3 linked regions of the Bombyx mori genome follow. The protein of the gene in region 1 purifies or fractionates together with the protein of each later gene. This does not show direct contact. Links are inferred from orthologs where the notes say so. Each region holds a gene or a part of one and is shown in the gene's direction. Other genes may lie near its edges. The genes, in order: NIF3-like protein, probable cytosolic Fe-S cluster assembly factor GL21135 and DNA polymerase epsilon catalytic subunit 1.

The links.
Region 2: the proteins of NIF3-like protein (region 1) and probable cytosolic Fe-S cluster assembly factor GL21135 purify together in Homo sapiens (affinity purification with western blotting; 3 studies listed by BioGRID and IntAct, with this or other methods). This does not show direct contact. The link is inferred for Bombyx mori from reciprocal best matches to the Homo sapiens genes CIAO1 and CIAO3.
Region 3: the proteins of NIF3-like protein (region 1) and DNA polymerase epsilon catalytic subunit 1 purify together in Homo sapiens (affinity purification with western blotting; 3 studies listed by BioGRID, with this or other methods). This does not show direct contact. The link is inferred for Bombyx mori from reciprocal best matches to the Homo sapiens genes CIAO1 and POLE.

Annotation. Positions count from the first base shown.
Region 1 is NC_085116.1:9,593,502-9,604,771, reverse strand, and holds NIF3-like protein, read left to right. Parts: upstream 1-673; coding exon 674-801; intron 802-3,782; coding exon 3,783-3,914; intron 3,915-5,076; coding exon 5,077-5,253; intron 5,254-5,889; coding exon 5,890-6,083; intron 6,084-7,078; coding exon 7,079-7,263; downstream 7,264-11,270. Other genes in the region: uncharacterized protein LOC101736312, read right to left, coding at 7,680-8,589, 8,998-9,637. UniProt on the Homo sapiens protein: Key component of the cytosolic iron-sulfur protein assembly (CIA) complex, a multiprotein complex that mediates the incorporation of iron-sulfur cluster into extramitochondrial Fe/S proteins.
Region 2 is NC_085116.1:15,942,687-15,952,745, reverse strand, and holds the end of probable cytosolic Fe-S cluster assembly factor GL21135, read left to right. Parts: 5' UTR 1-14; coding exon 15-80; intron 81-487; coding exon 488-702; intron 703-1,110; coding exon 1,111-1,256; intron 1,257-1,669; coding exon 1,670-1,828; intron 1,829-2,054; coding exon 2,055-2,303; intron 2,304-2,816; coding exon 2,817-3,018; intron 3,019-3,348; coding exon 3,349-3,506; intron 3,507-4,032; coding exon 4,033-4,295; 3' UTR 4,296-8,158; downstream 8,159-10,059.
Region 3 is NC_085131.1:3,950,813-3,961,492, forward strand, and holds the start of DNA polymerase epsilon catalytic subunit 1, read left to right. Parts: upstream 1-94; 5' UTR 95-313; coding exon 314-396; intron 397-470; coding exon 471-594; intron 595-909; coding exon 910-1,128; intron 1,129-1,637; coding exon 1,638-1,867; intron 1,868-2,094; coding exon 2,095-2,415; intron 2,416-3,181; coding exon 3,182-3,282; intron 3,283-4,204; coding exon 4,205-4,346; intron 4,347-5,000; coding exon 5,001-5,133; intron 5,134-6,774; coding exon 6,775-6,888; intron 6,889-8,085; coding exon 8,086-8,260; intron 8,261-8,694; coding exon 8,695-8,962; intron 8,963-10,680. UniProt on the Homo sapiens protein: Catalytic component of the DNA polymerase epsilon complex. Participates in chromosomal DNA replication.

The DNA of each region.
Region 1 (11,270 bases):
ACATGATTTAGTATTATTGTTCACGAACATAACCCAAATAACTAATAAAAAAAATAACAAAAAACATTATAACATAGATAAAATGTTTTGGTATACACTGCACTGGCTTGCTGATATAATCCATGGGCTTACATATTTTTTTTAAATATGAAAGCTTTGAAAATCTGACAATTATTATGAAATATCAACTTCTTTAGATCCAATCATTGAACTATACAAAATACCCACAGTCAGGTTTTTTTTGGTATAAGAAACGGTCTTATAATATGAATTAACAAAACACTAAAGTACTATATTATTACACAATATACCATATTAAACTATTACAAACCATATTAAAAATTAAAAGTGGCATTATAAAATTCCAATTTATAAATTAAACATCAGTTAATTGTTTTTATAATGGAGTAGTTAGTTTTAAAGATAAGGAAAAAGGAAATAAAGTTTGGATTAAAATAATGATGAAAAACAGCATTTATTATTTCACTGAATCTTTTCAAAATGCCTTTTGGTAAAATTTAATTTTTTAACAATGTTTTATTTCAAATTTATTAGTAAATTTTACATTTAAAAATTAAACTTTTTTCAGATATTACTAATGTTCTTTCAGTTAGGCAGGCACATTTTAAAGTCAAGAAATTCAAGGAATCACTTGTTCACACATTTTATCAAAATGTCAACTGAGAAATTCTGTGCAGTGTCTTTGGAAAGAGTAGTAACAGTACTTGAAAAATTTGCTCCAAAAGAATTGGCAGAGAGTTGGGATAACACTGGTTTGTTGGTGGAACCTTACACACCGAGGTATGAGCAAATTTATTCTTGACTACAAATACCCACTAGCAGTAACAAAAAAAAATGTTATTCATTTAAAATTATGTACTATTATAATAATTATATTAAGGTAGCTACTGCCTCACATAGAAACTGGTAATGACAGAGATGCTAAGCCTTACTGTGTATTGCTTTAGTCTTTAGACTTATTGTAGAGGATTACACAGAATTGGCCGTGTGGTGTCCGTGTGGTGTGGCCTCGATAAAGAATAATACCGGGCGACTAACGGGTTATCCAGAGAATGAGCGGCAACGTTCTCTGAGTATCATAACAGCATACTGCGATCGCCAACCCGCATGCCAAGCGTGGCGATTATGGAAACCCCTCCCAACATGTCTGACACAAATAAAAACCGCCCAGTCCTCGGCAGCTCCGCTATTCCTGGCTACAGTAGCGGTCAAGGTAACGGCGGGGCAGGGGGTGCTAAGAATCTCCGGCAGAGATCCGGCTACGTAAAAAACGACGATTGGACCTGGCAACATATAACGCGCGAACACTGCGGACCGATGAGAAGATTGTGGAACTCGAGGAGGAATTGAGCAGGTTACGGTGGGACATTGTGGGCTTATCTGAAGTCCGAAGAGAGGGAGAGGAAACGATAATTCTGAGGTCCGGTAACTTGTTCTATTTTCGGGAAGGTGATCATCTGTCTTAAGGTGGTGTCGGGATTATCGTCCACAAGTCCCCTATGAATAATGTGTTGTAAATCGAGAGTGTATCGACCAGAGTGGTTGTACCTTGTACTCAGAATCACCAAAAGGTATTCGTTGAAGATAATACAGGTTTACGCTCCGACTATGTAATAGGACATTTCCAGAGCCATGCATAGCTCTACAACTCACTTCACCATTGTCATGGGGGATATCAACGCCAGACTCGGTAAACGGTGCGAAGGGGAGCTGCGAGTAGGACCATTTGGATTTGGGCATCGAAATCACCAGGGAAACTTACTTGCCGATTTCATGGAGAAGAAAGAATTATTTATGATGACCTCTTCAGAAAACGGGGTCACAGGAAGTGGACCTGGATGAGCCCCAATAGCGCTATCAAAAATGAGATTGATTTTATTATGTCGCAGATTTTATTATGATGTCTCTGTGATCAATACGATTAAAACCGGAAGTGATCATCGGGTGGTAAGAGGCACAATGAACCTCAATAAACCTTGAGAGATTCCGAGTTATGAGGTCTACGCTCCGTTCAGCACCAGCTCAGATCCAAAGTTCTAGACACTTTCAGCTCGAACTTCAAAACCGCTTCGAGTGCCTAGGAGGCTCCGTGGACGATTACAATAACGGGTTTGTGAATGCTGTCCATACGATCGGTTCCAAGATTTTTGGAACCCGTCGTGCAAACAGAACCAAAAAACTCTCAGACCCTACTTTCAAACTCATGGAAGAACGTCGCGAGATGATTATGCAGTCTTGCAGAGATGTTATTTCTCCGAAACTATTTACCGCTGCGTTGGAAGACATTTTCAAAGTTCTGAACTGGAAAGGGCTAGCATAAACATCATCGGCGAGTACATAGTTCGCCGACGATATTGTGACTATGGCCGAGACCTTGGAGGACCTTAGTACAATGCTCAAAGACCTCAGTAGGGCTTCTATCCGAGTGGGCCTGAATATGAACATGGAAAAAACAAAAATTATGTTGAATGTTCATATAGCGCCCACTCCAGTAAAAATTGGAAGCTCTACGCTCGAAGTTGTTGACGAGTATATTTAACTGGGACACACTGTCCTGCTAAGTAAGTCCAACTTCGAAAAAGAGGTCAATCGTCGAATCCAGCTTGGATAGGCAGCGTTCGGAAAGCTACGTAAATCTTCTCATCACAAATACCACAGTGTCTCAAGACGAAAGTCTTTGATCAGTGTGTGTTGCTCTGAAATGTGGTTGCTCACAATGGCCCTTATGAGAAGGCTCAAGGTCACTCAAAGAGCAATGGAGAGGCTATGCTTGGAGTTTTCCTGCGAGATAAATCAGAAATGAGGAGATTCGCAGGAAAACCATGATAACCGACATAGCCCAAAGAATTGCGACGTTGAATTGGCAGTGGGCAAGGCACATTGCTCGTAGAACGGATGGCCGTTGGGGCCAGAAAGTTCTTGAGTGGCGACCGCGTACCGGAAGACGTAGCGTGGGCAAGCCTCCCGCAAGATAGAACGACGATCTATTGAGATTCGCGGGAATCTGCTGGATGCAGGCAGCGCAGGACCGGTCTTTGTGGCGAGACTTGGGGGAGCCCTGTGTCCAGTAGTGGACGTCTGTGGGCTGATAAGAAGAAGAAGACATAGAATTGATAGATAAGTCTTAAGTATTAAAGTTATGATTACCTTCATGCTTTGGGTTGAAATTGTATGTGCTTTGAAGTTTCAAATTATAAACTGTCAATTCAGCCGTATGTAGGGTATATAAAATATATAGGCTAAAGTGTCTCTTTGAATAAAGCCAATGATGACATTATTTGAGGATTACCAAACATGTTTGATTAAAACATGGGTATATAATTATTTTTCATATATAATTATATTATATTATTTCATTGAAAATTGGTTTTCTGTAATCAGCTAACCTATTCCTCGAAAACCTTTTTAATAAAAATAAATAAAATTACATGGCCAATGCCCATTGCACTTTTGCGAATCACAAGATTTAAAAAATACAGTCTATTCTCAAACACAACCAGTGTGGACTAAAAGTCACTCCCCTGTTATAGAAAGATCTATACAGAACACAAAGTGAGGATGCAACTATAATATGAGTTGATGATGTAGAAGTGGTACCAGCTAAAGTCAAATGCCTGTAAGTTCAGACATATAATCGCCAAACTTATAAAAATACTTTAAATAAATTTCCATTAGTTAATTTGACAAATTTAAATTAATTTTCTTTATGTTTTTAATTACCTATTTAAAATATAATATTTTTTTATAATTTTCAATTCCAGACAAATAACCAAAATTTTGTTAACTAACGACTTAACAGAAGATGTGGCCTTGGAAGCTGAAATTCTGGCGTGTGAGATGATTATTTCATATCATCCTCCGATATTTGCGCCTTTGAAGTCTATTGTTCAGCGGTAATTATTTATATAGTTCTAGTCACACGTCTTTGACGCTATTTATCACTTTGTCAGCATAGTATCCATATATTTTATATTATCAAATGAAAGTACAGTCAAACCTGGATAAGCGAGAGTTCAAGGGAGCACAATCTCATTCTCGCTTATAGAGGTTTCTCACTAACCCGAGTTTCTCGCTAATGCTCCCTCTGAATTTCGATTCGCGATTTTCCGCATTCAAATGCATTCACTATTTTAAGTTTATGACTTTAATGACAGTACTTTAATTTTCCGTTTTTACATGATGCAGAACAGAACTTTCCTTCGCAATTGATTAACGATAATCTGAGTAAGTCCGACAAACAGGACGGTACACAGGCACACGTGTCCATTCGAAAATAATGCGATAAAAGAATACGATAAAATAACAACGTTATTTAGTTTCACGAAATAGAATAGGTTCAATATTCACGAGAAAACAATACAAAAACAATGATAATAAGTTCCACGAAAGTTAAAAATGAGTCATAAAATAGCAAATGTTAAATTTGTAATTTGTTTTGTCATTTGTTCTTCCTAAATAATATAAATAAATAAATAAAGCTCGGCTGTCGCTTATAGAGGTATAGATAGGTAGCAGTCTCACTTACGGAGGTCCATGAGGAAAAAACGACTCTCTCTTACAGAGGTTTCTGTTTCTCGCTAATAGAGGTTTTGGGAGCTTAAAATGACGGGTCCTTGCTATTACTCTCACTTATAGAGTTTTCTTACTTATCCAGTTCTCAATTACCCAAGTTTGACTGTATTAGTTATGACTAAAATCACGGTGGACTATACGTCTGGGAATTGATTATTTAAATGCCAAAAAGCACGGTGGCAAAAGTGTACCGTCTGTAAAATTGTAAATCTGAAGGTTACCTATCCATATTAATATAATAAATATAAAAATGGTATACACATTGTGCGTAGAATAGAAAAGGACTGAGAATACCTTGTATTTAGACTTTTAGTGTACTATTCCCGAGGGATATTTTTTATACAATAACGCTAGCCGAAACTATTTTAATAGAATGTTATAATTATATTATATTATATTATATATTTATATTATATAACTGTTACAAGACTTTAGATCAAGTCTATTTACAACTTGGCGATTTCAAATATGTATTTTTTACAGTTCGTGGAAAGAACGGGTTGTATCTTATTTATTAGAAAAACGAATCGCCCTGTACTCGCCACATACTAGTTGGGATAGTGTGCAAGGCGGGGTCAATGACTGGTTGGCATCTGCTTTCTCTGTCGCAGAGTCTAAGCCAATTTTACAATCAAACAACCCCGACTTCGGAGCCGGCAGGTAAGCTATGTTAAAAGTTCGCCCAATTATAAGAATTTGATCGCAAACACTGACCTCATAATGTTTGCATTAATTAAATGTAATTATTATTGTATTATTGTAATAATTTATTATTAATATTTTTTTGATTTTCGTCGCTGTCAAACCAAAATCTTCTATGTGCAAAAACTCTATTTTGAATTAAGGAGTAAAAACATTTTCGTATAAAATTTTATAAGGTGATTTTTTAAGAACTATATCAAATGAAAGCTATATATAAAAATTAAAGCTATAGACACATAACTGTTTTTTTTATAAGGTATATTTTTTATAAAGATAAACTGTACGAAGATAGGCTGTAAACTATACGAAAATGTTAAAAAGTAAAAATCTCAAAAAGTGCACATAGCAGATTTTTGTTTGAAACGACGTTTTGCTATTTATATTTAAGTTTGAAAACCAGAGAAGAGAGTGCTACTTATCTGATTTGTTTGTTATAAATATTATGGATTCTAAGGAGTCTTTGAAATAATCGCCGTCTTCGGTATTTACCAAAGAGTTTCGGTTACAGCCGTCGCAACATTTAGCACGAGTACCCTTTACACGTTAGATCAGGAAGACATCGGCCCTAAATTAATTGAGAATATTTTTTTGTAGATTACTTCATTTGAGCACCGGAATCCCATTATCTGATGCAGTAAACAGAATTAAGGAACTTACACGACTCTCCCATGTCCGCATCGCTGCCGCAAAGGGAAAGTCTATGACGCACACCGTTCAGAGGGTAGCGTTATGTGCCGGATCCGGAAGTTCGGTATTAAAGGGAGTCGATGCTGATCTTTATTTGACAGGTAGTATATTATAGTATAATAAGCTGATAAATTCTATTAAATTGATTAATATTTCATATTATTAGATGAACATTTAAATCACTTTAAAACATCATGTATAGGGAGTAAGGTAGATTCTTTTCGAACGATCGTCATTATATTATGCAGGGTGGGAACACTGATAGGCGTCCAATAGGGAAAGAGGTGCTACCTGTAAGTCTGACTGATTTTGTTTCGATCAATAAGAAATGGATGATATTATTGGCTAAAGAAGTACCTGAAATTTCATTACAGTTTATTCAGATATTTCCTTTTTCGATAAGCATACTTTATTTAGTATTTTAACGAAAAACATGCAACAACATAATGTTATGTTATTCTATTTAATTAAAAATGTATTGTATAATATGTATACTTTTATGTCGTACATCTTATACTTACACATTAATGTTTTAAATTATATTAACTTGGACAAGAAGTACGTCAACGATATTTGGCCCCTAACAGAAGTACCATACCCGTCCCTCTGAGGATTATCTAAAATTTCATGCCTTAAAAAAAAGTAATATATACATATATATATATTTATTTTTATTTTTTATTGCTTAGATGAGTGGACGACCTCACAGCCCACCTGGTGTTAAGTGGTTACTGGAGCCCATCCACAGACATCCACAACGTAAATGCGCCACCCACCTTGAGATATAAGTTCTAAGGTCTCAGTATAGTTACAACAGCTGCTCCACCCTTCAAACCGAAACGCATTACTGCTTCACGGCAGAAATAGGCAGGGCGGTGGTACCCACCCGCGCGGACTCACAAGAGGTCCTACCACCAGTAATTACGCAAATATTATTATGATTATGTTACCTTTATACTTTATCGTATAAAAATATGATATAAATGAAACAACCAATAAAATCACTTGTTTTGGAGCTATTTCTGTGCCCAAACAAAAATATCAACTAAAGTGATGCTGACCTCTAAATGATGTATATTGAATTCTTTTTTTGCAGGCGAAATGCTTCATCACGACGTACTTGATGCAGCTCAAAAAGGTATAACAGTTATATTAACGAATCATTCGGACTCCGAAAGAGGGTTCTTGCGAGGATTTGCAAATTATTTACATAAAAATTTGAATGAAGAAGTTGAGGTTTTCGTAAGCAAAGTCGACAAAGATCCTTTGATAACTGTGTAAAAAGTCTGCTAGACGTACAAATGAAGATAAAATTAAATAGGTAGTTTTTGTAAGAAATAAAAGAAATATTAAATATAGTTATGTTTTATTTACCCAAATACGTGAGCGTACTTGGTTGTATACTCCAATCAAATTGGTTTGTTAAAATAAAGTTGCGAGATCATCTTCCTTATTCTATTTAAGTACACTCCATATGTAACTCTACGTTTTAAAGTTTGTCCACTTGGTCACTGTATTTAGCTTACAATATCTGGCAAGACCTTTCTATATAAACTTTCGTTTTCACATTTTTATCAGCTTTTCTCTTTCTACTCGTTAGTTTTGGATGATCTGGAAGTTGCACTGAAATATTTCCATTTTAAATGAAGGCCGGTTATATTTGTGTTAGAGCGTTCATTAGTGGCATGCATACAGCTTTACTTTCGTAGCGCTATTTTGTTTATTGTTTTAGGTTTTAGTATCTGCCCTTTTGGACTATCTAAGATTTCTTTTGAGATCTTTTTCTTTCTATAACTACCCCCTGGGCTGGTTGTAACTTTACAAACCGAGGACACTGTTCCATTTTTGTCATCATAGTTAATAACATACTCACGTCGCCTTGGAGATTTGGATCTGTTTCGTTTTGAATTTATATCCTTATGTTCGTTTTTTATTTGTACAGATTTCATTTCGTATACAATTGTGTTTTGATCCATTTTCTTTAGTGGATCTGATTCCTTGGATGTATCTTTAGAACTCTTCTTATTTTTATCGTATCCCGCAGATTTCTTCATAACTGGTTGTGATTCTTTTTTGCAATTATCGTCAAGTGTTTTTTTCGTTTCATTTCTATCTGGACGACAGGGCGAAGATGACGTTCGATTTTCAACTTTCGACCTTCTAGGCGTGGATACTTGCCGTACACTTTTGAACGAAGTTTTATGCGCCGCTTCAAGATCTTTTTCGTTTTCCATTTTACTTACATTTTCACCTTTATGTGGTTCTCTGGTTTCACTACGTTTGTTTGTGATCTGTGAAATCCTTCTCAAACTGCCTATCCCATTGGTATTTTGTGAACTTGACTTTGTATTTCTGTCATTATTGCTCAATTTCGATGTCTTAACGTCTTCGCTTTTTTCCTGTCTTTTTACATAAGTTTTCCTTGTAGGAACTTCTGGTGTTATTGACGTTTTAGGCTTTAGTTTATTTTTGTCATAAATAATATTAGATTCCCGTCCTGGGTGTAGGTTCTCGTAAATAGGAATCATTTCTTCTATTTTCTTAGAACGAGGGGTAGCAATTGTCACTTGGCTTTCCACAGCTTCTCTAACTGTGCGATTGACAGATCTGAAATAAATAGATTATATCTATGAAATAATTCTTTGTCAAAACTAAATAATGGGCTTTTCTGGTACGGCACACGGTTTAATCGAATAGATGGGAAAACACGCCATGGTTATTTGGTAAGAATAGAAAATCAATCATGCTTAATTAACCTCCTAATTCTGGTCTAAGAATAAGTGGTAAGATGTGCTGCAAAACCGCACGAGTGGTACAATCGCCCCGTTTATTTCTACTGTGAAATTATTGTGCGTTCGCTTTGAAGAACTTAACAGAATTTTATTACGCAGATATATACTATGTATATCTTATCTAAGTCTTTAAGGGGTTGAGCTTAGGATCTTTTGTATATATTTTTGTTTTTAAGTTTTGTACTTCATTCCAAATAATTAAAAATATTCGTTTCAAACTTACCGCGATGGCGTATTTGCTCTCAATGACTGTTTGGAATTTGAAAAAGCTTTGTCTCGTTTCGGTGGTTCAGATAAGCTTCTATTAGCAGATGCTGTATGTTCTTGCCTTCTAGATTTTGAGCGTCGCGTTATAGATTTTACATAATCATTTGTTTCAGAACGTTCATGTTCAATAATTGGCTTTAGTACTTTGACTTCGTGGATTTCGTTAGGTTTATCTTCATATCTTGTACGAAGTCTAGGCTTAGGAACTGGGATATAGTTGTTGGTAGCATGGAAGTTTTGATATTCAGGTACGTCATCAGATTCAGCTTCACTATTGCAAACGCTGTTTGAGACTTGCTGAATTAGTCTAACAGATTGAAAGATATCTTCTATAGCAGAATCCTCTGATAGATTACTTTTAAATATCTTTGATTCAGTATCTTCCTTTCTTCCCTTATTTACTCCGAAATACGTTAAGTCACTTTCTCGTAATTGTCTTGCTTTCGTCCTGTGATCATTGGAAGGAGAATGTGCAGACTCGAATTTTGTTCGTAATAAGTCTGTTTTGTTTAATTTTTCCACTTCTTTTAGAGGTGTTTTGATTTGATGCGAAATTGGCTCGGTAGCAAAGACATGATTCTTGTTTATTGTGGGACCTAAAACATTAAAAGCGTCTGTGCTTAGTAATAGTCTGTGTCAAGTGATTAATACATTGATTTTTATCAACTCTATCGAGAAATTGGCATTGGTTACTGTACAGAAATAAATCCAACCATAAAGAAAACCACTGTACAAGCCTGTAGCAAATACTAAAAATAGATCAGGATTGTATCAAATCCTTTGATTTTGAAAACGAAACCCATTGATTTAAATATTCAACTCTCTAACGAAACCATTGTTTTGTTGGATTAATGTAGATAGACTGTACTGTGTGTTATATCGGGAATTCATGACCTATGAAAATCCTGGTAAGACCCTATAATAGTCTGTATCTATAATGCACATATCCGTGAAAGTTTAAAACAATTCGTAAATTAGGTTAATTATTATATTATTTATTTTTTAAATTATAAGGAGAGAACCTTGGATCAGGAATGCTGAATACCAATTTAAAGAGTTCACAAACTATTTCCACGATAAAAAAAATCCCGGGTGTCAGAAGATCTTAAATGATGAACTATTCATTCAGCTATCAAAAAGTCACATGGCCCGGAGAACCTCGAGTTGGCTTTTTTTTTTTTTAACTTAACACAGGGGTGTTAAGTTGCGGCGGAAGTTCGAGCGCGGAAGCTTCAATCTCGGCGTTCCGTGCTCGAGGCGTGGTCTCGCCGCCTGGCGGACCCCGCCTACGGGCGACAGACCGTCGAGGCGATCCGCCCGGTCCTCTCGGACTGGGTGAATCGCGACCGAGGACGTCTCACCTTCCGAGCGACGCAGGTGCTCACAGGACACGGCTGTTTCGGTCGCTACCTGCACCTCGTCACCCGGAGGGAGCCGACTCCGAAGTGCCACCACTGCAGTGGCTGCAACGAGGACACGGCGGAGCACACGCTCGCGAACTGCCCCGCTTTCGCGGAGCAGCGCCGCGTCCTCGTTGCAAAAATAGGACCGGACTTGTCGCTTCCGACCGTCGTGGCTACGATGCTCGGCAGCGACGAGTCTTGGCAGGCGATGCTCGACTTCTGCGAGTCCACCATCTCGCAGAAGGAGGCGGCGGAACGGGAGAGGGAGAGCTCTTCTTCCCTCTCGGCGCCGTGCCGCCGCCGTCGGGCCGGGGGCCGGAGGAGGGCGTTTGTCCAGCTCCAGCCCCTATGATGAGGCAGTCTCCTCCCGGTGATGGTCACGGGGCGACCTAAGGGGGTTGAGGCTGCGCCGCACGCTACCGTCACTCTAGCGCGCTGGCACCAGGAGGACGGGACGGCGCGTCGGCGGCTGCGGACTGCGATGCGGTCCGCATTTTCGTCGTCGCTGTCGTCGCCGAACATACTGTTGAAGAGCAACCCGGTCGGCGGTGTATCGCGTTCCGACCCGGCAGGCTGGTTCTGGCCCAGCGGGGTATCCCGGAACACCAGCGGCACCGCCCGGGTGGCCTGGTAAGGCCGCCGTACCGCGGAGACTGACGTCGTTGGTCGTCGACTATCGCCTCGACGACCCGTCAGTCGGGCGTCCTCGGGGTGGCGCCGCGTGTCTGGTTGTAGTGTTGACCGCGGGAACCCCCCTACTCTGAACGGGTTCTGACCCCGGACGGAGATCGGACGTCGGGTGTAAGAGTGCAGGGGAGTCGTTTAG
Region 2 (10,059 bases), about 6.3 Mb from region 1:
TGTTCAATAATAAAATGGCATCTCGATTTAGTGGTGCATTACAACTTACGGATCTTGACGATTTCATAACTCCTTCACAGGTATGTTTTTTTTTTGTTATCAATAAAATCCTTTGCTGGCGAAAAAAAAAACAATTCAAATATAACTTTTTTGTAACAATTCATTTCATTTTAATTGAATTGTTATTAAAATTTTGTACCAATCTACTTTGATAATATAATTATTCATAATATACTATAATTTATACAAGCACTACTAACTATCGAATCAAAATTGAGACAAAAGGGACTTTAAAGTAAAAATTATTCTGAATTTAACAATCAGAGTTTTTATCGTATTAAGTTTTTTTTACTATTTCATACTCTATTTAAAACTAGTACTATAACAATAAATGAGTGAACAACTCATTGAGTATTAAGTATTAACATCAAGCAAACTTATGAAAGTGAATCAATCAGTAAATTTATCATAAAGTTAACATTTTTAGGAATGCGTAAAACCAATCAAAATCGACAAATCTAAAACAAAGACAGGTGCCAAAATAAAGATTGGCGAAGGTGGGTACTTTGATGTGTCAAGCGGAACAGAGCAGAAGTTGAAGAAAGTTGAAATCACCTTAGCAGACTGTCTTGCGTGCAGTGGATGCATCACATCTGCTGAGAGTGTGCTCATTACTAAACAAAGTCAAGAAGAGCTACTTAAGTAAGTCCTATGAGTTTTCATTACCAAAGAGAGTTTCTAACATAATATCACGAAATGCCTAACAAGTTAAAGAAGGAATAACTTTTAAGGTATAAAAAATAAGGGGGGAGTTGACGGGGTTATTAATTCCTGGCCACCTGGTCCAGAAAGATTATAGAAGCCTGTATATATCACTAAGTGAATGCCAGCACCCACTGTGAGACACTGAATCCAAGTATATTTCATAAGAGCTGTGCCATTCTTCAAACCAAAAGTATGACTGCTTTTTGGCAAAAACAGGTGCGATGACTGTAGTCCTCCCTACAAGTAGCACTAGACACTTAAATGAATAGTAGTTCCTATTCATGGAACAAAAATATAATTAATTTATTAATTATATTTTGCATAGTAAACATATTTTAATTTCAGGGTATTTTCAGACCGTAAATACACAGACAGTAAAGGAGTGGTGAAGGATGTTAGTTTAATAGTAATATCTCTGTCGCCGCAACCCATACTGTCACTAGCAGCTAGGTACAAGCTACCGCCTGAACATGCCACAAATAAATTAGCAGGTCTATATTTATAATGATATTGTAATGAAAACATTCCAGAAATACTCAGCAGAAAGTAACTGTATTGTGTTTCAAAATACATTCACATTTCATCACTTTGCTATGAATACAAATTAAATAAAAACTGCTCAGTTTGCAGTAGATACTAAATAAATTTTCTGAGGATTTTGTTTGACATATGTGATACATAAATGGCAAATGTATTGTATTCCTCTATTACAATGAAACTTCTTGTAACAAGGTGGGTACCAACAGTCACAATATGATGTCAATAAGCTCTGTTTGTAACCAAACACCAAGTGTCCCATAGACAAATCTAAAGGTTATGTAGATTTAATTGTAATAACAAATTACAAGATGGTTTGGTTATTTGGAGGTCCTTACAATGTCTAACTTTTAATTCATTATCACAGGGTACTTTAAAAGTCTTGGAGCAGATCTAGTTCTTGACATGACGATAGCAGAAGACTTATCTCTGTTAGAAGCACAGCAAGAATTTGTACAAAGGTATCAGGATCAACAGGCTGATCCCAATGGAAAATATCTTCCGATGTTAGCCAGTTCGTGCCCTGGTAAGCATGCTTTAGTTTGAGAATATAATTGGAAATATTATTGGTACTATATGCCTATTTCTGCTGCTATAAAATAATAACAATTAAAAAAAAATTGAGCAGTTATTAATATCTTACTTTATATTTCAAGTTGACGTTAGATGGTGGCTTTGTTCATAAAGATTTACATTTATACGAAAACTCTTATTAAAAACAATTAACCAACCAACTAATCAACAATTTTCAGGCTGGGTGTGCTATGCTGAAAAAACGCACGGTAACTTTATACTACCCTACATATCCACCACAAAATCCCCACAACAAATAATGGGTTCTCTGGTAAAGCAATACCTGTCCCGTACTAAGGAGCTTACTCCCGGAGAGGTGTACCACGTGACCGTCATGCCGTGCTACGATAAGAAACTAGAAGCATCTCGGGAGGAATTTTACAATGATTTGCTTAGCTGTCATGATGTAGACTGTGTCATAACTGCGAGTAAGTATACAATTGTTTATGAGAATTAATAATTCTTTCAATACTATTTTCTTTTATAATATTTAGACAGCTGTGCAATAAATTAATGAAGCTTCCTTATTTGCATTGTAATTTTTCAAGACACATGTACGGCTGATTTGTAATATCTGAGTCGTCTATTATCAAAGGTGGCAATCTGTGCATTTGGACAAAAAAAAATTATTGATATGTCAATACAGATTGATTTGAATATAATCGTCTCCTTCAAAGAATACGGTTCAAAACCTGCATTAAATAAAGGTTAATAGTTAACCTGTTATTTATCTAAGATGTCGTTCCGAAGAGTTTTGTGACTGCCAATGGAATACAAAGTCAATAATTCGTTTTTCTGATTTACCAATCATTGTCCAAAAGTCAGATTGCCGGCTTTGATAATAGTCGACTCATCTTACGATAAATTCTAGAAGCAAAATATATTAATAAATAAATGGTTAAACAAAAGTCAGGGCAGCCCTATAAATGTGACAATTTTAGTCGAGCTAGAACAAATGTTGGACAACAGCAACATGTCACTAAACGATGCGGAGAGCTCTTCGTTGGACAGTCCGTGGGGTGAAGGGGCAGTCCGCCGACACCGGGGCTCCGGCTCTGGTGGCGGCGCCGACCATGTCTTCCTCTACGGAGCCGAACAACTCTTTGGAGAGACCGATGCTCAACTCGTGTATAGGAATCTGAGGTGAGTCTGTTATGGTTACGTTAGAAAGACGAGGTCGTGGTGGCCAGCTGCGGAGTCGCCGGACAATGTTTGCGCAAGTCCACGCGTCAGTGGCGCCTCATGTGGTGACACAGCAAAATTACATTCTTTAAATGACCGATGAGTTCATAGTTTACGTGCAGTACATACACGTCATGAGCTAAAGGTCGCTAGGCTGCTTGAGACAAGAGGCTGTGGCTTGATTTGAATAAATTGAAAACTACCAGGTCCATTGTTATTGTTCTTTGGTCTTTGTAATCAAACCGCATAAAACAGAAATATGTATATGTTTTGCTTTATAACATCTTCCAGGAATCCAGACTTCAAAGAGGTGACTTTAGAGAGAGACGGCAAAGAGGTGCTTCGTTTCGCGATCGCCAACGGCTTCAGAAACATTCAGAATCTTGTCCAGAAACTAAAGAGGGGGAAGTCTCCCTACCACTACGTCGAAGTCATGGCTTGTCCTTCAGGTAGGTAAATTAGGAATAAGGACGCAAAGGCTTAACTATCCGATGTAGTCAGAGATAAGAAGTAAGAAACCAGATCGTGAGTGAGTTGGCTACTTTTTAACCGACTTTAAAAAGAAGGTTCTCGATTCAACAGTTTTATTTATTACTTCAGAACTTTTATCTTCGTGAATTAATTTGAAGATTTTTTGATTTATTTATTTGAAAGCTGATACTTCTCTTGTGATCCCATTTCAATTTTATCAAGATTTGACCTATGGTTTTTCTTAATAATACTTTTTTAATTGACCCAATGTAGTATTGTTGATATTTTCATTTTACTACAGTTGAAGTCGATTTTCTTTGTTGTTAACTAATTTTGTTTTACGGGCAACTAGAGAATGTTATGAAAAAAAAGAAATAGTCTGAGCAACGTTTACGAATTTTTAAATATTTAACCTTTTTTGTTATGCTAAAATTTGGACAGGTCAAATTAGCTAGCTGTGTAATACCTAAAACAGTATTATAATAAGGCCGCCCCCGCTCTCAGGTTGCCTCAACGGCGGCGCCCAGGTGCGGGTCGGGGGGGGCCAGGCGCGGGCCGCGGGGGGCGAGGCGGGGCGCGAGCTCGTGCTGCGACTAGAGACGCTGTACTCGCAGCTACCGCTGGCCACGCCCGTCGAGAACAAGTTCCTGAGGAAACTGTACACGGACTGGCTCGACGGGAAAGATTCGGATAAAGCCAAGGCCGTCCTGCACACCACGTACCGCGCCGTCGAAAAGTCCGATATCGCCCTTAATATTAAGTGGTAGCTGCTCACGTTGACTGCCCGGGAGGGGGCGCCGCGGGGGGTTGGGGGGACCAACTTCTAATTCCACTTTATCATTGTAGGCCGACGAACATACGGCCTACCTGACGGTAATTAGTCATCGTCGCTCATGGACATCAACAATGCCGAGGACACAGTCAAGCCGCTACATTACCGCAGAATTAACGTGGTTCATTACCCTGTGCATTACTTCAAAGTGCAATTGAATTCAGAGTGTTTTCGTCAAATGTCTTTATTTATACTAGAGTTATGTTTCACAACTAGGCGACTAAATATCAATATATAAAAAAAAAGTCACCATTATTTTCTTCAAAGTTACATGTAATTGCTTTCTCGGACTGCATGCGGCAAACGGCTCGGATAACCATTTAATATCAGATAGGCCATGAGATTGTCCAACCATCTTAGAAATTAATAAATGACTTCTTTCGTTTAGTTAGGCCTATCATACGTCATCTTTCCACTCACACCCCAACCCCCACTTCAATGCCCACACTTCACGTATTAACACTACACACTAAGTACGTAGCGGATCTAACTACTTAGTACAGTAAAAAAAAAAAAAGAAAACTCTTTGAGTAGCACGAGTAGGTATAGAAGCGAAGCCGAAGCGAAGGTATATATTGATATACTGTACCCGTCCGCTTCGCTGAGCATTTAAAATTAACATTTTTAACACTAAAATTCCGACCGGTGGGGCTTTTGTGAGTTTTTGTGAGTTCGGTGTTCCGGGCTGTTTGCGAAGAAGATATGGAAATGACACTGATTTGTATGTGGTTTTAATAGAAAAGCGTCACAATAACTAAAATAAAAATAAAAAGTTAAGAAAAGCTAAGATGTACAATATTTTGCCGGTCGACATCGCGCGACAGAGCTCTGTCTCAGCGGGGGGCAAGGCGGCGGCGGGGGCGGTATCGCACGTTCGGATACTTGGTTCCGTTATATCCTCCCCCTCCGAGTCACTAGAATGCCTCGTTGGTGGCTCGGCAGAAGCAACAAGACGCGGCCGTCCACGCAGGCGTCGAGGCTGTACTGGAGCCGAGACCTGACCGGTTTGATTACGATACGGCTTCAAATGAGAAGCATGAAATTTCCCTAAAATCTGCGAATTCAAATCAGTAACCTCATAGGTAGTATGACTAATGATATTGCTAATCTGGTAGGGTCCTTCACGCTTATTCATGAACTGCTTCGTTCTACCTTTGGCGGCATCACTTAACAAGTGCATAGAGAGAAGGACTAGATCACCTACTTGGTAACTGGGACCAGATAACCGACTTTTGTCGGATTGCAACTTCCTATCATCTTTATGATATTCAGCGTAAGGCATTGGGTCTCCCCCTGGTGTGAAGACATCCTCATTGCACTGCAGAAGAGTAGCTAGGCGGTCACGCTCGGGAGGGTACAGCATAGTTTCCTCGTTTTCTCTTAAAAAATCAACAGCGGAACAAGGCGTGAGGTCACCGGAATACTCGAACTCCAATGGAAAAACTCGTTCAAAACCTTGGTAGCGCCATGTCGAAGTATCGAAGTCGAAGGCTAAACCAGCTGCTACTAAAAAGTCTACACCCAATAATGTGGCATTATCCTGAGCGTCCGGGAATGCGACGAATTCTATGAGAATCATCTTACCCGGTAATAACTTCACATCAAGTGTCCTTGACAGCATTTGTCGTGTTTGCATTGAACCATCGGCGAGCTTAACACGCATAGAACTAGAGAAGAAAAGGCTGGTTATGCTGTTGCAGTAAGGCGTAGAGTGAAGAACCGGCAACAGTTAATTTGGCTGCGGTGTCGATTAAACCCCTACCTCGGATTCCTAAAATCTCTATACCTAAAATAGGTCGTCGCGCGTTGCCATTTTGCGAAGAAGTTACAGACGAAAAGGTGACAGAACTATGACCATTAAAATTTGGCGCGGTGGGTGTCTATTGTTTTCTTGGGCGCCTCGCTCGCTCTATTATTTGCCCATTTTTGTCTCGCTCTATTATGACTCGCTCCCGCTCTCGTACGCCAAATCAAAGACCACGAGGACCAATCTTCAAAATAAAATATTTACAATTTAACTTATTTCTACGTTTAGCCTATTTCTATTAACAACTTATTTGTATTTAGTTGGACATTCTCTATTTCTATTTATTTGTCACGGACATCCTCTTATTTTATAATATTTTTAACATATCTTAACTATTCCTAATCATCATGTCCGTCGCGAACATTTTAATACCAAATTCCTGGTTTTGTCCCGAAAAAATAATGGTCGCCCTACTCGGTGACGGACCACGTGACGTTTTACATTTATTTCTATTATTTACGATGCACTGATTATCACAAAATTCACTAGGAGATACTGATTTAAATTCGCTAGGTACATGAGGGCGGTTAAAACACTCCCCCTGCTTAACAGGACGAGATAAGGATGTAAACAAGGCATATCGTCGGAACGCGGCGAATTTGAATCAATTTGTTTATCAACATGTTTACGAGACGAGTTTACATTACATTTACGGGCAAAATTATTATTTCCGGGAGGTGTACTTACATTAGTACATGATACCAAACTTGGCTGAGCAGTGTGTAGCGATGACTTAACATAATTTGGGCGCTCAGTATGAACACTACTGGATAAACACAAGTCAGGTACAGCCCCAGTAAAAACCATAGGTAAACTTTCAAAATTACACATCTGGGTGGACGGCTTACCAACATCTGTGTGCTTAGTGCGAGTTTTCTAACATTCTCGATAGCGTATAAGATAGCTCATATTTGTATGGAATGGGATCGTTTGCGTACGTTTGCCGCTAGGGGCGCTGTTCCAACTGCATACAAAATTGGGTAAACTTTTACGCTATCCAGATCGTTAAAGAACTCGCACTAAGCACACTGAGGTCTCAGCGGTCGTTGTACTTCGCGATCGCGTTCGCGGTATTTGAATGAAGTCGACCGCGGTAAAATTTGAACTACACTTGGAACAATTAGAACGTATTACTCCGCTCGCGCCGCTGCGCCGCAACCGTAACATTTATTTTTTACTCTACTAACTACGTTATCGTTACTATCATTCGCGGTTTGTTTTGATAACAATTTTCGACACTGATCACGCGTTTTCTTTTTCCTACCTAAGCTGATAGCCTTGAGAGGCTATTTCACCGGAACCTTAACTAGTAGGTGAGCTCGCGGGGCTCAAACCTGACGATGTTGCTAACACGAACCCTAGCAAGAGCCGTGCTTCGCAGAACCTACCACCGGATCGGAAACGCGACCCACTGAGAAGATCCGGCGAGAAACTCAGTGGGCTGTGTCTATGGGTTAATTTACTCGTCGAGCACTTCGTCGCAAGCGAGGACGGTGACGGTGCTTAAGGTACCTAGAAGCACCGCTAATGGATCGATACATTTTTTTTTTATTGCCCTTGTAGGCAGAGGAGCATACGGCCCACCTGATGGTGAGTGGTTACCGTCGCCCATGGACTTCAGCAATGCCAGGGGCAGAGCCAAGCCGCTGCCTACCGCTAAAATCAAGAGATATAACAATTCAGTGCCTTTTTCATGTCAACATCAAAGTACATAACATGTATTATATAAGATGAATGTAAATCTAGAGGTGTCAGTTACCACATATTATGGTCTGATCCGGTAGAATTCGTACAATTGTGCGCGTAAATGCTTCCCTTCGAATATCAATAACACTAATTATTCTTGATGTTCTGTTATTTCTATTTATTATGTATTCTATTATATTTAGTTTATTCTAATTATTATAAGAGGATTAGTGATAAGAAAGACGATAGTTGTGATTTTCGTGTAACTAAGTTATTGAATAAATACGTTTGGTAATAATATTGAATCTGTTGTTTTTATCCATTACCTACGCATTTGATTGCCGTAAGAACGGCTGCTTTCTAAATACCTATTTAATTGTTTTCTATTGTTTTCATAAGCCAATCGGGACAATGTATAATGTCAATCTTTTTTAATTACTTTAATGGGTTACGAAGCTCACGGCTCACTTGGTGCTAAGTAGTCACTAGAACCCACCAACATTAACCACGTCAATACCGCCACCCACCTTGAGACGTGAGTTCTATGGTCTCGATTTTATAGTACAACGATTACTCCACCCTTCAAACTGGAACGCATTATTGCTTCACGGCAGGAAAAAGCAAGATGATGGTACCCCACCGTGCGGGCACACATAATACGCTATCACCAGTAATTCGCCCGGTCATCGTTCTCGTCGAACACGTCACTTGCGACAAAGGGCTCTGCGAGTAAATTAATCCACAGACACAGCCCAAGCACTGAGTTTCTCGCCGGATCTTCTCAGTGGGTCGCGTTTCCAATCCGGTGGTAGATTCTGCAAAGCACGGCTTTTGCTAGGGTTATTGTTAGCAACGTCGTCAGGTTTGAGCCCCGTGACCTCACCTACGTGTAGGGTTACGCTGAAATGGACTCATAAATTAGGTGAAAAAAAAGTAATTCGCGTTTAATTTAAAAGTAGCTCTGTCAGGACCTAGTCGATTTAAAATGTAATGTTAATTAATTAATTAAAATGCCTATGGTAAATTTACCAGAGGCATTTTTCACATTATTAATTACGTTCTGACAATTTAAAAACGTCGGTCACGCCTTCTAAGCTCTACATACTCTACTCTAATTATCTGATAACATGGTATATTTTTGGTATTTCCCTTGATTAGACTGTAGAGGGTTAGTAGTTCAATGTCCACCTGATATTAAACAAGTGGTTACGATCCACGGACCTCTGACAAAATCAAACTATGATACCTGGTGCTTACAAGCACAGGCGATTCTCGTAAGATACGATTTATGGGAATACGCTAGTGGTGCAAAAGCGTTAGCGGCAACTACGACTGCCGAAGAAAAGAGTGCGTTCATAAAGGAAGACTTAAAGGCAAGGTCAGAGCTAATTTTACTTATATCTCCACCAGAACTGAAACAAGTTAAAGGGTGTAATACATCCAAGGAGGTATGGGACAAACTTAAGTCTATTCACCAAAGTTCAGGGCCGGCAAGAAAGGCTACGTTGTTAAAGCAGCTAGTATTAAAGAAAATGACTCCACAAGAAGATATGAGAGACCATCTCAGTAATTTTATGGATGTAGTAGGTAAATTAGAAGACATGGATGTCAAAATTCATCCAGAGTTATTAAGTATAATGATGTTGTACAGTTTACCTACAAATTTCGATAGCTTCCGAACGGCAATTGAGTCGAGAGATGTTCTACCAAGTCCTGACAGTTTAAAAATAAAAATCGTAGAAGAATACGAAGCAAGAAGGCAAACCGAAGATAGTGAACCTCAGGCTTCAGAAGCTTTCTACACAAAGACGAAGAAAAAGGTACAATTTTGTAAGGATTGCAATAAGAAAGGGCATTCCACAGAAGCTTGTTGGTCAAAGAAGAAACCCAATAACCCCAATAAAACTAAAGGTCAAGAAAAGACATTTAACATCTGTTTAACAACAGGAACATCGAAATGTAAAGGCAATTTATGGTGTCTTGACAGTGGCTGTACGTCACATATGACGGGTGATAAAAGTATACTCCATAATTTAATCCCCGCGACTGACACTCTAAAGCTAGCTTCAGATAAACATACGACCGAAGTTAAAGGGAAAGGAAAAGCCGAACTTTATACAAAGGATCGACGCTATAAAATTAGTCTTTCTGACACATTATATGTACCTGATTTATCGAATAATCTAATTTCTGCAAGCAAAATTAC
Region 3 (10,680 bases), on another chromosome or scaffold:
TATTTGTCGTATATAGAATAGACAAGGCTGTATGGGCTTAGATCCCTTTCTTTTCCTAATAAGGAAAAATTGCACGAAAAAAATTGTCTCTGGTCGTCTGTTTAGTTCGAAAAGTAAAATCAATTTCGCGGGAAATTTGACAGCGCTTAAGTGTCACTGCAGAAGCTCTGAATTGTTATTGGTCAGCTGTTTGAATCTATTTGTTGATACAAAATAATTTTGAGGAATTTACAAGGAGGTTTTAATATTATTAAATTATCTTGGATAATAATGGTACGTGATTAGTTTAATATTGCGAGGTACTTTTTTAATCATGGTGCTTCAAAATACTGGAAAATACCGACCCGATAAAGATGATTCTGCTAGAAGAGAAGGAACTTCTTCAGGTGGGCTCAAGTAAGTGTAGAAAGAACATTTATAAAGTTAATGCATTTGTGATATTAATTTAACGTTAAACTTAATGTTATAAGGGAAGAGTCATCGGAAACTAGAATTCGTGCCGCTCTGGAGAATGACAGAATTGACTCAAAGTATGGTTTCGATCGAGTGAGAGATTTAAAAGAAAGGACTGGCTACTTGATCAATATGCACACGGTAATTATGATTTGTAAATATTTAAATTCACATCTCCTCAACCATGAGAACGAGTATGCGTAAAGTTTCAATTTTGTAATTACTTTTTGTAATTTCAATATTGTAGAAGACTCCTACATTTAAAACTACAACACTTGTATAGTAAATTTCGTCATATTACCTTTTCACCTTGGTGAGTTGATCTCTCTTAAGAAAACACAAATTTTAGTTTTTGCATTAAAATTCATTTATCAGTGTAATAAGTAGTAATTACTTGAAAGACTTACTTGCTCCGATAAGAAGGGCTTAAAATTTATTATTAAACATTCCAACTAGGCTGAGGTACTCGATGAAGACAAACGATTAGTTGCTGCCATGGATTACTATTTCATAGAGATGGACGGTACCAGATTCAAAATTTCATTAATGTTTCAACCATATTTTCTAATAATGGCCAGAAGAGAATGTGAACAGGAAGTTATACAATACATCTCTAAGAAGTTTGCTAGTTCAGTGCAAAAGATTGAAGTATTGGAGAAGGAAGATTTGGACTTGGTATTTTGTGATAAGTTATTTCTATTAATTGTATCATTCAATTTATATAAGCTATTGTTAATTTGTAAATTGAATTGCTGAATATTATTCATTTCTTAAAATTATTACCTAACTGCCATAATAGGGTAATGTTTTTCTTTTTTGCTGATCCACGCAGATGAGGAGTTCACAACCAAATAATGTTGAGTACTGAGTGAAGCTCATAAACAATAAAATTAATGCAACTGTCTGTCTGGAACACTATACTTTAATTCTATTCCACATAATAATATAGTGGTAGTCAGTGTGGTGGAGCTTAAAAATTAAAGAGTTAGTTTGTTTCTATTTCACTAATTGCACTTGTTTGGTGAAAAGACTCATGGTCTACTAGGTATTAAAAGGGTACTGGTGTAAAGCATCTGCTCTATGGTAGAAATGATCAGCTGTGGTAATGTTACAAACTCCAACTGTAATTTAAAATGAGAAATTTTCGACTGTCCATTAAAAATAGAATGCAACTGTATTTTCAGATGAACCACTTATCAGGTCTGAAACAGCGTTACATAAAATTATCATTTATGTCTCAAAATGATATGATGAAAGTCCGACGGGAGATATTGACGGCAGTTAATAAAAATAAAGAGCGGGAAAAGAAAGATGTTATTTATGCTGAAATGTTAACTAATGCATTAACCAGTGCAGCAGCTATCGAACACGCTAAGAAAACTACTGATCACATGGAAAATATTTTGGACATCCGGTAAGTTGCAGAAACATGATGCTTCTTGAATGCCGTAGCTGAATTCCGTCTGTAGCTATTCAATTCTAAGTATAGTTCAGTAAGTCTACTTCTAAAATTCAATTTCTTTACTTTTATTTCAAATTACGTACTTCTAGTGGATACCAATCGAATTTTCTATTATTTCTATATAATTTTGTATTTTAAGTTTAACAAAAAAATCAATAAAGTGAACCTATTTTCGACAGGGAACATGATGTGCCATATCATGTAAGAGTCTCTATAGACATGAGAATATTCTGTGGCACATGGTACACAGTGAAATGCAGAGGTACTGACCCTCCTATTTTCACAAAACGAGATGACATCATCGAGAGACCAGATCCTATAGTATTGGCCTTTGATATAGAAACTACAAAACTACCATTAAAGTTTCCAGACTCGCAAACAGATCAAATAATGATGATCTCTTACATGATCGATGCACAGGGGTACTTAATAACAAACAGAGAAATTATATCGGTCGACGTTGAAGACTTTGAATATACTCCTAAACCGGAATTTGAAGGGTACGTTTCGAGAGATTCAATATTTCGTAGTTCTATTTTTCAGCTTCTTTGTCCTATAAAATGTTACAGAAAAGTATAGCATAGCATGCCTTAAATTTGTTCAAATAGAGTGCATGAAAAAATATTCTTGATTGTCATTTAACAACAAGTGCATTCTATTGTTTATAACTTACGGTACCTCTGAGATGTGGCAATTGAAAATATAACTAGTCCATGAACTCAAGGTTTGCTCAGCCAGCTATGTGAAAAGCTGTGCTTGGAACTTCTCTAAAGATTATCGTATCGTATCGCATGTCGTATAATTTGTCAGAGCGGTCGTGGTCGTCATCCAGTATCATTGGTGTGAGCAGATGTTGCGCGTCTCACGTACAATCGCCTCCTTGCGGTTTGTGGTGAGCCTGGTACACTCATGCAAACAAAAATTAACTAAGGTTATTTGAGGGAACTAAAATCGAACCGTCATAGCCGACAGAATCGGCCAGCTAGTGGCGATGGATTGGAAATACACGTCTTAGAACTAACGACCACTGGAATGGGTTTGAGGGTAGACCATAAACCGGCAAAAGCATGAAAGGTGCTAGCCCACCAGGTGGAGATGAACAGAGCAGAAAACTGGCCTAGTGACTCAAATTGGTACGCAAATGGGTTGCGAATTGGGTGCTTTATCTCAAGCAGTATGATTAACTTTAGTTCCACTTTTAAACAGGTGCCTTTTTACATTTTTCTTATTCGAATACAGAAGGTTAATATTTAATTACTTTTACAGCCAATTCATAGTATTTAATGAACCAAATGAGCTGGCACTTATACAGAAGTTTTTCGATCATATCATGGATGTGAAACCACACATCTTTGTCACATATAACGGTAAGGATAATTTGATAATTAAATTTTAAAATCTGAGCTCATATTGCTGAATTTTCACAACTTTCATAACAGTTGCCTACTAATATATGATTTAAACGATTTCGGTTTAGTTATTTTTGTTTTGTTAATTTTGACTTCATCATTGCGTCCCATCAAGAATATAGTCTTAAGTGGCATGTAAAAAAAGTTTTAAAGCTTTTAAATTATGTTTTTGTTGTGGCCTTGAGAACTATGCAATAAAAAGATCTGGACGCATATACGAATCTTCACTTCGATAAAGCGGCACGACACGAGAACCCTCTCTCATCGTGGCCGCCGGTAACTACATTCCCGATCCTGCGGAAAGAATGGAAAGCAGTCGACGTCGCCCCAAACACGTCAAATCGGATCCTCCCGATCCACTAACGGTGCTTTTAAGTACCTCAAGCACCGGTCACCGTTCTAGTCGAACCCGTCGCTTGCGACGAAAGGCTCGACGAGTAAATTAACCCTCAGACACAGCCCACTGAGTTTCTCGCCGGATCTCCTCAGTGGGTCGCGTTTCCGATCCGGTGGTAGATTCTGCGAAGCACGGCTCTTGCTAGGGTTCGTGTTAGCAATGTCGTCAGGTTTGAACCCCGTGAGCTCACCTACCAGTTAAGGTTCCGCTGATATAGTCTCTCAAGGCTATCGGCTTAGGTAGGAAAAAAAAGAAAAACGAATCTTTATTGCAACTAAGGTCTGATCTGGTGACGATAATGGTATTGCCCTTGTTCGTTGTGTATTAATTGGGTTATATATAGTAGAGATTTTAAAAAGTCACTCGTACCCCTTCAACTAATCAGACGTACTTTATGACCGGTTTTTTTGCCGAAGGATGCCGAAGGATAAGAAGACTTATTCCGAGAGTTATTTATGTTACTAATTCTAAATTCTGCTTTAGGTGATTTCTTCGATTGGCCATTTGTGGAAGCTCGTGCCGCGATTCTAGGGCTGGACATGAAGCAGGAGATAGGGTTCAGTAAGGTGACGTCACGCGACAACACGTACGTCTGCAGACCTGCGATGCACATGGACTGCTTATGGTGCGTAACAAAGAAACTGTATACAAGAAGTGCTTGCTATAAAAGATAAAGTCTAGAAATCAGAACCATAAAGTCGCTTTTCCGGATTAGGTTTGAACTATACAAAATTATGATTTAAGTAATAGTCAGATTGAACTTACAATAACTGATTATTGGTTTCATAAGTTCGACTTTACAATTTTGTTTCCATATTATTTTTATTTTAATGCTTCTGTGTTGTCTATCTTTCTAATTGGCCCCTAGTATAATATGTTAATAGTAGATAATAGTGAGTATAAATTACTGATGGGGCTAAGTTAAAAAAAAGGATGCCGAAATAATTGCACGTAAAGGTTTCTTTACGTTGTTACGTTTTATAAAAGTCGATAATTGTTTTTTATAGAATGGCTTAGTGACCTCCGAAAACTATAAGCCAAGCCAAGTATTATTAAAGCTAAATTAGTAACCGTAAGATAAAAACTTAAAAGTAGATTTAATTAAAAATAAAACTCATAAAAGACTACAAACACTTCATAGGAACTAGTCGAATAAACCTTTTTTTTTATTGGCTAGATGTGTGGACTCACAATAGGTCCTACCACCAGAAAACTTTTCACTATTCAAGTTTCAGAATTCAGATTTTAGTAAAAATTTAAACATTGATCTTCTCCGCAGCTGGGTGAAAAGAGACTCGTATCTGCCGGTCGGCTCGCAGGGCCTGAAGGCGGTCGCTAAAGCCAAGCTGAGGTACGACCCCGTCGAGCTGGACCCTGAAGACATGTGCAGGATGGCGTCCGAACAGCCTCAGGTAATACCAACGCAGGCACGAGACCGCATCCGCCGTAAGGTGTAATCATACTGCATCATCCGCTCTGCAATATGACGTCACACATTGTGGGGCACGTCGACCTCATGTCTCACGGAGGTCACATTCCCACTGCAACGTTTATGTGGTCCAGGAACTGCCCACTATCTTAAGCTCTGAGGCATTGATGCTGATAAAATTGTACTAAGTAATGCAATCCTTGGCCGATAGGACTTGTATTAATTTGTAATTCTAAAATATCCTACTGGAGTACTATACTAGGTGTACTTAAGTAACAACAGACCTGATGAATGTCGCAGGATTCGTTGCCAACATGGAGCCGGTGTCCAGCGAAGGACATAACGTAGTTTACTCAGACGGCCTAATTGTATAAATAAAGCTACAGGGGGTGGTTTCTCTTCCGCCGCATCCAAAATCTAAAATGCCCTGCCTCCGTCTTTGAGAAGTAGACTCACAAGGATTAAACCCATTTGGAGTAAATAAATGCAATTAAATAAGCGTTTGGCGGTGAGCGGTGCTACCCAACATACCCAACCAGATGTCCGAATAACAAATTGTCATCGTCCCCCTTAAAGACGTCATTTCGGAGACTCTCAATTCAGTCTGGGTGCGTTTAGGCATACCACCGGTCACCGTTCTAGTCGAAACCGTCGATTGCGAAGATGAGTTCGACGAACGAACTAGCCCACAGACACAGCCCACTGAATTTCTCTGCGATTCTTCTCAGTGGGTCGCCATTCTGATTCGGTGGTAGATTCTGCGAAGCACGACTCTCGCTAGGGCTAGTGTTAGCAAAGTATCTCAGACTGAGCCCCGTAAGGTCGCTTACACGTTTGGTTAAGCTAGTTATAACCCCTTGAAGTTATTAACAGTAGATAGGTAAAGAAATTCTCCATGGGGAGTGCTCTGAGGAATTGCTCGAGATGATACCGGCATCTCGTTTTTACTATCGTGCCGCCCGCCACCGGAGTAGAGTTCATCTGTACTACCTGGAGCCACTGCGGTCATCCACAGTGCGTTTCCAGAGGTCTTTTTTGCCACGTACCATCCGGCTATGGAATGAGCTCCCCTCCACGATGTTTCCCGAGCGCTATGACATGTTCTTCTTCAAACGAGGCTTGTGGAGAGTATTAAGCGGTAGGCAGCGGCTTGGCTCTGCCCCTGGCATTGCTGAAGTCCATGGGCGACGGTAACCACTCACCATCAGGTGGGCCGTACGCTCGTCTGACTACAAGGGCAAATAAAAAAAAACAGAAAGAAAATATCTGTAATATCGAACTAAGGTTGAAGTGTATGGCGGTAATAGCCACTGTTGCGAGTCGTGCGGACATCGGTGGGTCGCGCGCTGTCTCAGTCTCCGCAATACGAGACGGACTGGTGGTAGGACGTCTTATGAGTCCGCATGGGTGGGTACCACCACCCTGTCTATTCAGCCGTGAAGCAGTAATGCCTTTCGGTTTGAAAGGTGAGGACCCTAGAACTCATATCTCCAGTGGATGATGGCATTTACGTTCTAGATGTCTATGGGCTCCGGTAACCACTTAACACCAGGTGGACTGTGAGCTCGTCCACCCATCTAAGCAATAAATAAATAAAAAACGGATTCTGTGTAATGGTTTATAGGTGCTGTCGAACTACTCGGTGTCGGACGCGGTCGCCACGTACTACTTGTACATGAAGTACGTGCATCCGTTCATATTTGCCCTCTGCACCATTATCCCGCTGGAGCCCGACGAGGTGAGAAACGATCCTTATTAGCCTATATTATATCGGGGGGTGAAAGGTTATTTATTTGGTTTAACCGACATTTTTGCAATTTCACAGGAGTGCCATTTAAAGTTTGAAATTTGGAAAAAATCCATAAAAAAAATTCAGATATTTGTATGGATTACTTAATTGATGTTAAATTAAAAACATCGAATTTTTGATGCTAATACAAAATAATAAATGGACCTTTAATTATAAACATAAATGTCGCTTAAGCCAAATAAGCTTTTCACCCCCCCAATATATAATATTATAATATGTATACACTATTATATATTATAGACTGTATGTAGTAGTACACTTCGATAGTTTTCGTCGATAGAGAAAAAGAGTCCTTATAGTAAATCTCATAAATTCATATTTAGAAATAAAATGTTTAGGTGTATATTGTATGGCTTGCACGAGAAATCTGTCACTGAGCGGGATGTATTTGCCCGATACACTCTTAGTTCAGTGTGCTTAGTGCGAGTTTTTTAACGTTCTCGATATCGAAAAAGTTAACTCAAATTTGTATAGAGTTGGAACGTTGGCCGCTAGGGGCGCTGTTCCAACTCCAAACAAATTTTAGTTCACTTTTGATATCAAGAATGTTAAAAAACTAGCACTAAATACACATATCTTGTTCGAACTGTGTTTAAATGTAAACCTATCGTGTAAATTTCTTCTATTCTATTATATACTAAGACTACTATACGGTAGGCAGTGGCTTGGCTCTGCCCCTGGCATTGCTGAAGTCCATGGGCGACGGTAACCACTCACCATCAGGTGGGCCGTATGCTCGTCTGCCTACAAGGGCAATAAAAAAAAAAAAAAAAAACATGGGTATATTTTTTATTGATACTTAAGTTTTCAAATGCCTGTGTCATGGTTTTGGTTAGAATTTCATTTAAAAAAATAATCAAAGTTGGTATGTAATCCGCTTTAAAAGATCATATTGCTGTGTGCAGAACTATGCAAGACGATAGTATCGGCGAGCGCAGCTTTCCAATGAGTCCTACAATCAGTAAATAAAGGGACGGAGAGAGAAAGTGAATTTTTCACTTTTCGATGATAGTTATGTTTTGTACCCTGATTTCCTCTAGTTACTACTCGCCTTCCAACGCTCTATTTCTATTGCAAAGTGTGTTCCAAGTCAGTCCACGAGGTAATGTTCGTGTCCACGGTCAGGTACTCCGGAAAGGTTCCGGCACGCTGTGCGAGTCGTTGCTGATGGTCGAGGCGTTCCATGCGAACATCGTGTTCCCGAACAAGCAGGTGGAGGAGCTGAACAAGCTGACGAGCGACGGGCACGTGCTGGAGACGGAGACTTACGTCGGGGGACACGTCGAGGCTCTGGAGTCCGGTGCGTACACCACGATACTAGCGCCACCACGCGAGTAGAACGTACATCATTCATATCAGTTTGAGGTACGGCTGAGCTTGAGCTCTAGGTGCTCGATTGAGGGGTCACTGTGTTTACAGACATCACTTGTATCAGTCAATTAGTAAAATAAACGACCATGAATGCTCTAAATTATACTAGATTATATGTACTTGATTGTATATTAGAGAATATAGTACTTTCTACAAAGCTACAATGGGAGGGCGTACCTCTTGAATCTATTTCTTCTAAATAATCCGTACACAGAGTAAAATGTACATGTATAAATCTAATGTAATCTTCCAACTATTCCAAAATACCACAAAATACTCCAAGCTCGTCTGATGAATCCTTGAATGGTTAAATCTTTATTATTAATCGAATTTTCATTTAATTATGTCTTAAAATGCTTGTAGGTGTATTCAGAGCGGACATTAAATGCAAGTTCCGTATCGCCCCAACGGCCGTGGACAAGCTGCTGGAGAACACCGAGAAGACCATGAGGCACGCCATAGAGGTGGAGGAAGGTATACCGCTGGAGATGGTCACGAATTTCGACGAGGTCTGCGGAGAGATTAAAGCGAAACTACAACATATGAAAGAGCACCCGCGAAGGGACGAGAACCCTTTGATTTATCATTTGGACGTCGGCGCTATGTACCCTAACATCATATTGACGAATAGGTAATTCATCCTTTCTGGTATGCTATATGAAATGTTAATGAATGTAATATGGAGGCAAAATCAGAAGTAAAAGAAAAAAAAAACGTGTGGCACTCGGGAACTGCCGCGGTAAAGCTATTGCATGGCATTTTTTTTCAACTTATGCAATTATAATTACACAATGATAATTTAATATTAAAACAACAATAAAACAAGACCACGCTATATTAAACATTAACAAAAGCAAAACATTAACTGTTCCCTTCACACTCATAAGCTAGACCGCGCGAGAGAGAGATGGCAGACTTTTCATGATGCGCATGCAGTGTGACGTCACGCCACGCGCTTATTCACAAACACTACACAAGCGCAACGTGTGAATGTGTTGAACGCGAGTTACATGGTAGGCGGAGTGAGGGGTGTTAGGTTTTTTTCGTTACGGAATTTCATGATTATAAAAGCTATGCAATAGCTTAAAAAAATTTTTTTATAATTACTGGGACATGCTATTAGCGATGAACAAACAAGTAACAGAATCGCAATTGGTGCCAAATTTTCACTACAATTATTTCTTTTCGATTGTTAATGAATAGCTGTACACACTTTTGACACAAGTTCAAGATATTATTGCTAATATGAGAAGTATTTGTATAACAAAACAGACTGCCTAAGACCGATGTAAATGAAAGGATTTGATTCGAGCCCTACACCCCAGCAGAGGGTAATAAGAAAGAAAGAAGAAGGAGAATATGAAAAGTAGTCTCGTCTAGATTTTTTTTTTAAATTAGATAAGCATTGCCTCCTGCATATTGTATGTAAGTGAAACACAGAAGTCAGATCTGCACGAATATAATTATTAAATAAAAATAATAAAAGTTCTAACTGGAGTAATATCATAAAAAATCATTGAGATGTTTTTTTATTATTTATTTTTATTTATTTATTTATGTACACACAGAAAACAAGACACAGTACAGAGTAATAGGAAAATTATGTACAAAGGCACTGCTTATTTCTTTGAGAAATCTCTTCCAGCAGACCTGCGAGAGGATAATGAGAATAATAATAAAATGTGATAAGTGTGTGTAGAACAAATAACACATAACTAAAATAACAAATACAACATGAGAATTATAGCACATACACATAACAAATATTATAAGTAACACAGTAACACTCGTATATGCGAAGAGTATAGAACCATGATCATTCGGTTGATGATAGATAAAATTGTTTGACCTTGTATTTAAAAACAGAAACAGACTTGCAAACTCGGATGTCAGCCGGCAACGAATTCCACAGTCTGACCGCGTGCACAGTAAAGGAGTGAGAATAGAAATTGGTTTTGTGGGAAGGGAATAACAAAACAGAACGTTGGTTGGACCTGCAGGGAGCATCAGGAGAACGAATGAAAGAGAATCGCTTACGTAAATATAAGGGAGAAGTGGGCTTATGTAGGATATTGAATAGGAGACATAATATTCGAGTATTCCTACGAAGGCGTATAGGGAGCCATTTAAGTTCTTTGCGAAAATGAGAAACATGATCGAATTTTCTGAGATTGTATATAAAACGGATACATAGATTTTGCATCCTCTCAAGCTTGTTTGAGAGCTCCTCAGTGGCATCCAAGTAGCAGGCATCGGCGTAATCAATTATGGGTAGAATGAGAGCTTGGACGAGAGATATTTTTGTATGCTGAGGTAAGAAGCCCTGCAGACATCTCAACGAGTGCAAGG